2 linked regions of the Arabidopsis thaliana genome follow. The protein of the gene in region 2 interacts with the protein of the main gene of each other region in a biochemical or structural test. Each region holds a gene or a part of one and is shown on either strand. Other genes may lie near its edges.

What was found.
Region 1: the proteins of GBSS1 (region 2) and AT5G39790 form a complex in vitro, tested with the Arabidopsis thaliana proteins (one study listed by BioGRID).

The regions. Positions count from the first base shown.
Region 1 is NC_003076.8:15,932,035-15,936,848, forward strand, and holds AT5G39790 (PROTEIN TARGETING TO STARCH (PTST)), read right to left. Parts: upstream 3,237-4,814; 5' UTR 3,088-3,236; coding exon 3,084-3,087; intron 2,890-3,083; coding exon 2,856-2,889; intron 2,728-2,855; coding exon 2,502-2,727; intron 2,397-2,501; coding exon 2,299-2,396; intron 1,845-2,298; coding exon 1,775-1,844; intron 1,548-1,774; coding exon 1,442-1,547; coding exon of another isoform or gene 1,347-1,441; coding exon 1,258-1,346; intron 1,164-1,257; coding exon 1,051-1,163; intron 953-1,050; coding exon 850-952; 3' UTR 523-849; downstream 1-522. Other genes in the region: AT5G39785 (hypothetical protein (DUF1666)), read left to right, coding at 1-181; AT5G39800 (Mitochondrial ribosomal protein L27), read left to right, coding at 3,546-3,696, 4,484-4,548. UniProt on the Arabidopsis thaliana protein: Involved in targeting GBSS1 to the starch granule.
Region 2 is NC_003070.9:11,919,839-11,925,398, forward strand, and holds GBSS1 (UDP-Glycosyltransferase superfamily protein), read right to left. Parts: upstream 4,029-5,560; 5' UTR 3,780-4,028; intron 3,687-3,779; 5' UTR 3,669-3,686; coding exon 3,327-3,668; intron 3,248-3,326; coding exon 3,167-3,247; intron 3,076-3,166; coding exon 2,977-3,075; intron 2,904-2,976; coding exon 2,814-2,903; intron 2,640-2,813; coding exon 2,576-2,639; intron 2,478-2,575; coding exon 2,377-2,477; intron 2,239-2,376; coding exon 2,129-2,238; intron 2,041-2,128; coding exon 1,797-2,040; intron 1,714-1,796; coding exon 1,537-1,713; intron 1,454-1,536; coding exon 1,175-1,453; intron 1,072-1,174; coding exon 943-1,071; intron 861-942; coding exon 744-860; 3' UTR 552-743; downstream 1-551. UniProt on the Arabidopsis thaliana protein: Required for the synthesis of amylose. Destroyed as it is released from the starch granules during the night. The circadian expression is controlled by CCA1 and LHY transcription factors.

The DNA.
Region 1 (4,814 bases), on a different chromosome or scaffold from region 2:
GACAGAAGATCAAGTACTTCACTTCTTCTCACAAGTAGACATGAAACTTGTGACAAGAGTCTTGAATATGTCTAAATTGACTAGGGACCATTTGGTTTGGTGTCACAATAAGTTGACTAAGATTAACTTCGTAAATAGAAGGTTACATTTAGATCCTTCCTTTTGTCTTTTCCCTTGTTGAGATTTTTGATATTGACAAATTTGTACATTGGAGTAATAATGAAAATACAAATTTTGGCCTCATATTATTGTTAAGTAAGACTCATAAAAAGTCCATCAATTTTTGGCTATTACACTTGATGACTTTTATTGATTTTCACTAGGGTTGGATGTGGTCCACAACTGAACCAAATTGGTTAATTCCAAAATGTTAATCAAAACCCGGTTATCTCCCTAGTTCATTTAAATGTCTCTTGACCGGAATATACTGAATGGACCAGAGTCTACTGATAATAAAGTCTCTATAGATTCACACACTCGTTTTCCGGGATAACCTGAAACCACTAGTTCTGGTTTAGTACATTATTTCTAAACTCTTCTTCATTCTTCTGTTTCCAATATCTCTTTCTTACAAACCAAGAAATTTCTGATGTACATGGAACCTACCTATCTTCTCTCTATGGATTCAAAGCTAATGCCAAAACAACAATGAAACGAAATCAAAACCAAGAGAACTTTTGAGAGATGGGAAAAATTGATTGGATTTTGTGTGAACAAAAGATAAGAAATCCAAATGACTCCTGCCACCTATTATACTATTCCTTGTATCTAATACTCAGATTCTATTGTCTACAATCTCATCCACACCAATCTTAAATGTTTACGGGTGTAATGCAGAAAGATGAGTGGCTATTCCACCACTAAAACATTGTTCTCCATCAATCCTTCTCCTGAAGTAGGAAACTCGGGTGAGATCTGCCATTCTCCATCCACTAAGAACTTCATCTCGTACCTAAATTTCACAAGAGATTGAAAACACGAATAATTTCAAACATTAAAAGTTGATGTTGAATGCAAAAGAATAAGAGTAGAATAAAATTTAAATAGTACCGCCCGGGACGAAGGAATAACGTTGTGGAGAATTTGGTGAATAAAGCTGAGTACTCAGGCGATAGATCCTCACGTTGGCTCCATCCATCGAACGATCCCATTACTTGTACACTCTTATGTGAAGATAATCAACAAATGAGATTAATTTTGAGGATAATATATTAAGCTTAGAATGTTAAAATGCATAATGTGAGATTATTACACTACCTCTGCCATGCCAATCCAGAACACATGAACCTCCTTTGACTGTGCAGCCTCGACACCTTTTATTTGTTCTTTCATCTTTTTTTGAACAGCTTTAGTGGGAGAAAAAAATAAAAAATTAGTATATCATTCCAGGGATTTGATGAGCGCCTAAATAATGATGAAACCAAGAGGGGATGAGAAGAACCGTCTAAACGAGAGAGAAGGTGCGATTGAATGTACTTTCCACTGATTTTTCTAGAACCTTGTGGGATACCAAGGTTTGCTATTTCTTCCGCCAGTTTCACCAGAGCCTATTTCCTCCAGAAAGTGATATCATGAAACATTTCTACTAAAGAAACTATACATATGTGCTTGTGCATACAAAAATCTGAAGCTAAATATTTCCCAATATTATAACCAACAAAAATATGTATTTGATTGGCAGTAGACATGGGATAATGACAACTAAACCAAATCAGCTTAAGGCAATGAGATAGTGAGACCGTGACATTGAAAAATCAAAAGTAGAAATAAAGACCTGAACTTCGAGCTCCATAAGTGCAAGCTCAGTTTTGATGTTAGTTATCTCATGTTCCTGTGTTTTAAAGCTGCAAAAAGAGTTCAAGTAGTCAACAAACAAGTCAAATAACTCGTTTTGTCCCTTGATACGATGTCTGTTTACAAAGAAAAAAGATGATGTATAATAGCATCAAGAATATAAGTATTGAGGATTAAATCTCAAACAAGATTCATCAAACACACAGATGAAGAACAGTGGAAAGTGTATTTAAGTATGCAAATGATTCATCATCATCTTCCAATTTGATACAATGCCGGTTTACAGAAAAAGAAGAGAAGTGAAGGAAAATGTTTCTGTGACATCACAGACATGTAACTCCCTTAAACCTTGGAGGTTTTTCAGTATTTTTCCAAGAGTGTGATAATATAAAATCTGATAGACACTAAATTTCTTAAATAGAATAGGATATAAGGTTGCAGGTTTCTCAAATCATCTAAGAGAATGGACAGATAGAGGTACTAAAGTAAGTGTATAAATATAACACAAGCACCTGACGCTTGAGGAACCGATTCTGTTGATTAGCTTCACTCAATTTTTTAACAAGCTTTGATCTCTCTGTATCAATGAGCAGTGACTTCAACTACAGAACCAAATGGAGAGTTTGTTAGTTGGTACAGAACATAGTTTCTTTATCATCTGAGAACACATACGCTTAGATAAACAGGAGAAGAAGATAAAGCTTAACCTCATCACTAGTGAGAGGTCGAGAAAGAGATTCATCTAGTAAATCTTCTGACAGTGATGATTCCTCAGTGCCAACACCAACTAAAAATCTCTTCAAAAGCAAACTGTTCTTGTAATGTTTTCGAGTAGAAGCTACCAAAGGATAAGGAAGTTTCTGGAAATGGGAGATTGTGTTCAATCTACACAAATTCCATGCTCTTAAGTTCCATGAAAGAGTAAGGCTTTGGCTGTTGAAGAAGAAGAATCACTTCAACTAATAGAAACTTAAAATACTATAATGATGAATCATAACAAGTTTGGTTTCACATCAGCAAAAATGTGAATTAGAATAAGAAAAAGATATGAAATTTTGTACCTTGAACAACCAAATTCAATTCTGGGTACACATCCTGCATCAGAAAGACTCACAAAATTAAAAACTTCAACTTGTATCATCAAAATTCAGTAATGTCTCACATAAATCAAAATGCTACTTATCTTACATATATACCTAAATTAAACATTAGGGTTCTTTTATAGAACTTGAATTCAACAGAAATGTGAACCAAAAAAAATTAAAAAAAGGAATGATTTTTCGACTTACCCATGATTGGATTAGACTCTTTTCGTCTTGCTCAACACAAAAAAAAATTGATTAAAAATGTCTAATTTGGTTAAAAACTCTCAAAAATATCGAGAAAGCTGTGAAGAAGAAGAAGAAGCTGGAAACACTGATAAACCCCAGAACCAAAAATAAAAAATCTAATTTGTTTTTCTTATCAATGGCTACAAAACACGTGCGTAAATCTAAGAACTAATTTTCAAATATGGTCCCTATAGTTTCAAAGAGTCACATTTTTCCTGAAAACAAACAATTTTCCAAATTCCACCAAAACAAACGACACCGTTTACTGTCTTCAACCTTTAACCTCACTTAAACAAACCCCCTATTTTTTGGCCTCTCTGAGATTTTCACACTCTTCTCTTCTCAAGCTCCGTATTTTTTTCTCAATAGTTGATATAGATCCGTTATTCCATCGATTGAGATTGATAGATTTGGTGGAGAATGACGACGATAGGAGGATTGTTAATGGGGATTGGAAGATCATTCAGAAGAAAGAGATCTTCTTCTCTTGACATTCTCTCTCCCAAAAGAGCTCCAAGAGACTTTTACAAGGGCAAAAACTGCAAACCTACTGGTTTCCACACGAGAAAAGGTTCCAACTTTCATCCTAATTTTGAGAATCAGTTCATTTCTATCTAACACTTGTTATAGTTTAGTTGATAATTGCAATCTTGTGTTATTTGTTGTTTGAACTAATTGTTAGGAATTTACATGGCTTAAGATTGATTCTTTGAGTGGAAAGCTAACAACTTTAACTCAATTGTGGCAAAACTACTAACAAGGAAAGGTTCACTGAAACTGCAACTATTGGTTTGGTTTTCACTTGTCATGCTGCAATCCATTTCTATCTAACACTTGTTTAGTTAGTTGGTGATTGAATCTTGTTGTTCTTGGTTTTGAATTAGATATATGTAACCTAAGGCAGAGCTTTTATCAGTTTAGTTTTCATGCCTTACGATATCAGATTCTTTTGGTGGGAAAGCTAACAACTTTAACTCAATTGATGATCATCATAATGTTTTTGATAATTGAGTGTTTTTATTAGATATATGAAATCTAAGGCAAAGCTTTAGATACCAGATTGTTGTTTAGGAGGAAAGCTAACAACTTTAACTCTATTTTGGCAAAGAACTGATCATCGGTTGCATGTGTTACTAGATTCATAATTGCCAAAATTGAGTTAAAGAAGTTAGCTTTCCACTCAAATAAATGTGGTAGCTTAACTCGAATTGTACATGTGTAGTATACTGTTTTTGTATTTGTTTCTAGACTTCATTTTGGCAAAAAAAACTGATCATCATATTGTATATGTATTTTGCATTTGTTTTCGAGACTTCATTTTATCTTTACCTAAGTTTTATGACATGGTGTTTTTGCAGGAGGATATGTTGTGCAGCCAGATAAGTTGCCGAATTACGTAGTCCCTGATCTCACCGGCTTTAAGGTTTTTCATTTCACCCTCTAAACTCTTATGTTCCTTTTATCTTTGATACTTCTAGTATGTACCTTGCATCTTAATTGAAACTTGAGAACCAAACATTAGTGAGAAATCTTCTTACAAGTCTTGTTGGTAGAATCTCCTTAGGTTCATCCTGATAATTATCTTGGTTTGTTCTTGTTGTAAGGTTTTTGAGTTAGGGACCTGAAATGGGAATGCTTACTTAATTACATTAACCTTTGTTGTGTGATTTAGCTGCTCTGCTGATGTAT
Region 2 (5,560 bases):
GTAACATGCGTGAAGAGAAAGCAAAAACCCTAGTCGCCTCTGTTTTCGCCTCCACGTCAGCAGAGCAAAAAAGAATAACTGTAAGTTTCCGTCAACCATAGATTTGATTTACTCTGTGATAGAAGCTTCCTGATATCGGTAGTGCATGCAAGCTGTGTTAGAGGATCTTCTGACCAAACACCAGCTTGAATGGCAGCGATCATGGCTTCGTCGTCCATCTAGAAATCACCAGAGATTGTTTACTTGTGAGATCGTTTTTAGACCAAGATTTGGGTTTTAGTGACGTGGCTTTCTCTCTTCTTTGACTTCTCTCCTAAGCAATTCACAAAACTTGAAGATAAACCCGAGAAATCTAAACTGAAATGTGAAAGAGGTAAAGAATCTTGCATTTGAGCAAGATTTGTGACGTAGCGAACAAGAAAAGAAACGGTTTCTTCTTCTTCTTAACCGTTTTCCCTCCATATATCCTCCTTACATTCAAATTTTATCTTCTTATTAGTTTGATTGTGTTTATGTGTTAAACATTATTGTGACAATAAATTGAAACTATTCTGTAAAATTCTACCATTTTTTATTGATTGTGATGATAAACTTATATATGATTGATTGTGTTCACAAAGTTTTTTTATTATTATATTAGACTCTAACATTTCCAATATACATTACTTTTCCTCAACCTTCCCTACTCCTAACTTCCCAACGCTTTCTTCAAACCACTTTGACACAAAACAAAAGTCATATTCTCACGGCGTCGCTACGTTCTCCTTGGCCAGAGGAGCTATCTCTTCACCCTCGGTTCCGGCTTCACTTCCCGCCACATTAAGGGACAATAGTACCTTCTCCCACAACCTCGCAGGTCCCTGCATAACATCAAATCAAGATTGATGTCAACAACTCAATATAAACAAAGTTTCAAACTTTAGAATGAACTGAATCACTGACCTTCCAGGAGAAGTCTTGGTCCATGCAGTTCTTGACCATTTCTTGCATTGCGGATGTTCCATATACTGCAACGGCTCTTGTCACAGCCTTTGCTGTTGCTATCACATCATCTGGATCCACAACTTCACACTATATAACAAAGCAAAATGGTAACTCATTTTAGATCAATTTGTTGTCATGTCGAAAGAAACTGTTGTAGAAAAAGCGCGAAAAGCTGGTGATTTTGAGTTACCTTGACGTTGAATCTTCCAATGTGGAAACCTGTGTAGCCATCTTTCACAGTGTCCACAAGTCCACCAGTAGATGCCACAATAGGGACGGTTCCATATCTCATTGCGTGCAGCTGAATGAGACCACACGGCTCAAACCTGCTTGGGACAATGATGAAGTCAGCTCCAGCAGTGATCATATGAGCCAATGGCACGTTGAATTTCGCCACTCCAACCGCCTTCCCTGGGAACTTCTCTTCTAGTTCAAGAATCTGAGCCTCCATCTTCTTCTTTCCAGTCCCCTGTGAAAAACATCAGACAAGAATCAATAACTTTGTGATCCTAAAGACGTTATGATCACAAGTTCACTGCTTAGTGTACTCACAAGGATAACCATCTGAACATTGAGCCCCATGAACTTGGAAATAGCTTCCACTAGAATATCAGAACCCTTCTGCTCCTCCAATCTCCCTATGAAACCGATAACCGGGACATCCCTGTCCACGGGAAGTCCAACAGCAGCCTGAAGTGCTTCTTTGATCAATGGTTTAGCATCTGTAACCTGTAAAAACAAGTAGCAAGATCGGTAAAGATTTCCCGCAACTTCTTCTGTCCTAATGCACTGATCTTCAAGAGAAATCTTACAGTGGTAATATCGTATTTGATATCGATGTACTTGTCAGTAGACGGGTTCCATTCTTGAACATCCATTCCATTAATAATTCCGGAAACTGTTTTCATTCGAAGATATTTATGCAATTCCACGCCTCTATCAACTCCAGAGATGAGTTCTTGAGCGTAGTATGGACTAACTGTTAAGACACGGTGAGCTTCCAGAATTGCAGCCTTCATCCAGTTAATTTTCCGTCCTTTTACTGGCTTTTCATACCTGAAAATGGAACAAGAAGTTACAGTAAATTAAGATTGAAACATGAGACAAAATGGTGTAATGATCTGTTCTTCAGAGAAACCAGTACCCGTCCATGAAGTCGAAAGAACTTTTAAAGCTGATGGGCAAGTTGAGAAGGGAATAGTCATCAAAGGCAAATCTTCCCTGGTAGGCTATGTTGTGAATGCAGAAGACCACCTAAAAAAAAGTAAAATATTTTGATATTCATTGTAAAAAGTATCAAAGCTAGAGTTTCAGTTCAAGATTTGGTAATGTTTGCTACTTTAAGATGAATAGCTAATTAACATGATGAAGGAACAAAAATTATATCTATACCTTTGCATTCATGTAGACTCCGCGGGATTGATACATAGATTTGAGGTAACATGGAAGTAGAGCAGTGTGCCAGTCATTGGCAACAAAGACTACATCTTCACCTATAACATCAGAGAGATAGGCTTTGTTACTTTTCAAAAATTGAAGTTTTATTTTTTAGAAACCATTTTAATTAAGAATTGAGAAATCATTTTCTTACCATATGGTCCAGAGAAGTACTTGCTGCTGTTCAGGTTCAGAACCTGTGGTGCCTCAAGAGCAGCCTACCAACGATCAAAGTAAATCAAGTTATTGCTCATGCTTGTACGCTATTCAAACACAGATTCTGCATTATTTATGAATTTAATCTCTGTAGGCTACATGTTTCAATCAAATGAGAACCCACGATTCAGAAACAACACAACTGTAACTACAGAAGTAAGAGGAAAGAGTGTTACCTGACACAACAAACTGAACCGGAGTTGGTTGTCATTGTAGTCTACTCCAGTTATAGGACCATAGATTTTGGATCCTGTTTTGCCCACAACCTGCATTATTACCATTCCTCATTAGCTCAAAGTACAATACACCCTTGTGATTATCTAACCAATATAAACAGACCTTAGCAAGAAAGATTGGATGGTCAACAAAGACACGATCAACTCCTCGTTTGTAGCAATGGAAGAAACGAACATTCTCAACTTTATCCCCAACTTTGATCTGCATCAAATAACATTCCAAGATGACTTACCTAAGCATCCAAAATTCATCAAGGTCCATACAGAGCAAAAGAAACTTGAGAGAATTATACCTGAACCACAACACAAGTGTCCCAAGCATCTTTATATTGGTCATACCGAGGACAAATTGTCATCACACGGTGGCCTCTAGCCTAACAAAAGTCATAACATGTAGGTTCATCAAAAAACAAGTAAAGACCTCAAATCAAGCTAATGTTTATATGAACTTACAGCAAGAGCTGGAGGTAGACCACCGAGAACATCACCAAGACCACCAGTTTTACTCCATGGACCAACTTCAGCTCCAATAAAAATCACAGACATTCCTTTCTCACACACAATCTTACCAGCAGTCTTAACTTTAGAAGATCTCTTTGAGGATTTAGCAGAAACAGGTTTAGCTTGAGATCTCCTCTGAAGGTTATCCACCATGTTGAATGACCTTAACCCACAATGAGTCAAGGATTGGCCTTTTAAGGTAATCTGAGCGACATCAGAGCATGAAGAAGCACCATGATTGTTGAAAAGTGAAGTTCTTGACACAAAGTTAGAAGAAGCAGTCACAGTTGCCATTATGAACTACCCGTTTACCTGGATTCAACAGATGAACAATCAAAATCGATACTTTAAATAGAAAGATACAATCTTTGACAAATTTTACATTAAACAGAAGAAAAAGCTCACAGATTTTCACGGCAACTGAGGAAATAAGAGCCAATGGAGGAGATGAGAAAGTGAAGAGAGCAGAGGAGAAGAATGGTCAGTTATGTAGAGAAGAAGAAGAGTGGAGGCTTGGACTGACACGAGTGACACGTGGCGTTGTTATAGTTGTTGAGTGGCGATTTTCAATCACATGATGAGGGTCAATACTCAAATACTCAATGGCATTGCCTGAGAATATGTGAGAATCTTGAGGTTATACTTTGGGAGGACGATATTTTGATGCGTACGTTTTGGTCCGAGTGGCTAAGAATCGACGGCTGAGATTTGTTGGTTTTGGGAAACTGGGACTCTTTTAGTGGGTCCTATGCTTACACAAGTGTTTCTGTTGTCGTCGTGCATCCTCATGAACGTACCGTTGGACGACATTTTTCTTGGCCCATTTGTTAAAATTCACGGTCGAGAATTTTTGTCATGTTTTATTTATTTAGTTTTGTGTAAGCTTAACCACTGATTATTACTAAATAGCAATTTTTAAGTTTAAATTGATAATGTCAATGTGATTGCATAATTTTCAAGTTTCTTGCGTATATATGTATAATTTAGATTCACATATATCAGAGGCTAGCCAAATAAATTATTTCAAGAATTTTTTCATGCACCATCATTTTTCCTTCCCTTTCAATTACTTTAAGTTATTTAATTTCCATTAGTCACATCTTAAGTAGTAATTTGTTTAACAAATCTTGGAATGTTAGAAAGGAGTTAATGTCATGATTATATTTTTTGGTTATTGTGGACGGTTAGGAGTGATTTGTCGCAACATAGGAGATCGTGTGATGATGTTGCAATCTCTCCAAGACAGTTTCACGCATCCACAAGAACATAGTCTTTGGCCCATTTTGACGTTAACTTTTATTTCTTAAATTCGGACACAAAATTATGATTCGTGAAATGAACATTTTATATTTTCATATTATAATCTCATGATCATCCGTCCAAATTCTTCATTTTAACATAAATTTAAAACTAAGTCTTTATTTTTTAACAGAAATTCCATCATATTATTTTTTAAAACCATGTTTATTCATGTCTCACAAGTCTATAATATTAAAAACCATAATCATACTGACAATCTAATAAATCCATAGTCAGAAGAAAAAATGTCACCATAAAAAAAATAAATTCGGATATGAAAAAAAAATAAACTCGGAACTAATTATTATCCGAATTCGATGCTCTCTTATAATACCATATTGAAGTAAACCTTACCGGAACAATAAATTATTGTTAAGATTTGGACATGTAGCCGAGAGGATACCACTTGAGCTAGCCAAAACCAAAGGAGTCAAGGAATCATCAAGGATCTGATGATGTTGTTGTGGTGATTATCATCTCTATGATTCCAACCAAACATTGGAACATAACTCCAATCATTTCCATAATTTAGTTATTTTTTTAAAATGAGATATAAGATCAATTACTTAAATGAAAATGTGTGACAATTCAGAAATAGTACTAGATATGTGGGAATAGTGTATTACACAAAATCTGCAGTTTCCAAGTAGCCTTGCAAGTTGCAACGTTTAAGTCATTTTCTTCATTGGTGGGTATTCGCCGAAATTAAAAGGTACTATCACACAGTACTACTATACAGTAACCGGCCACTAGTGGCTAAAAGGAAAAAAAAAATATCCAAGTAAAATGGAAATAGTCACGTAATTTCTCTCCTACACATTTACATCTTTTATAAATTCTCTGACTCACACAGTAGCTTTCCAACACACCACAGTCTTTTTCTTTTT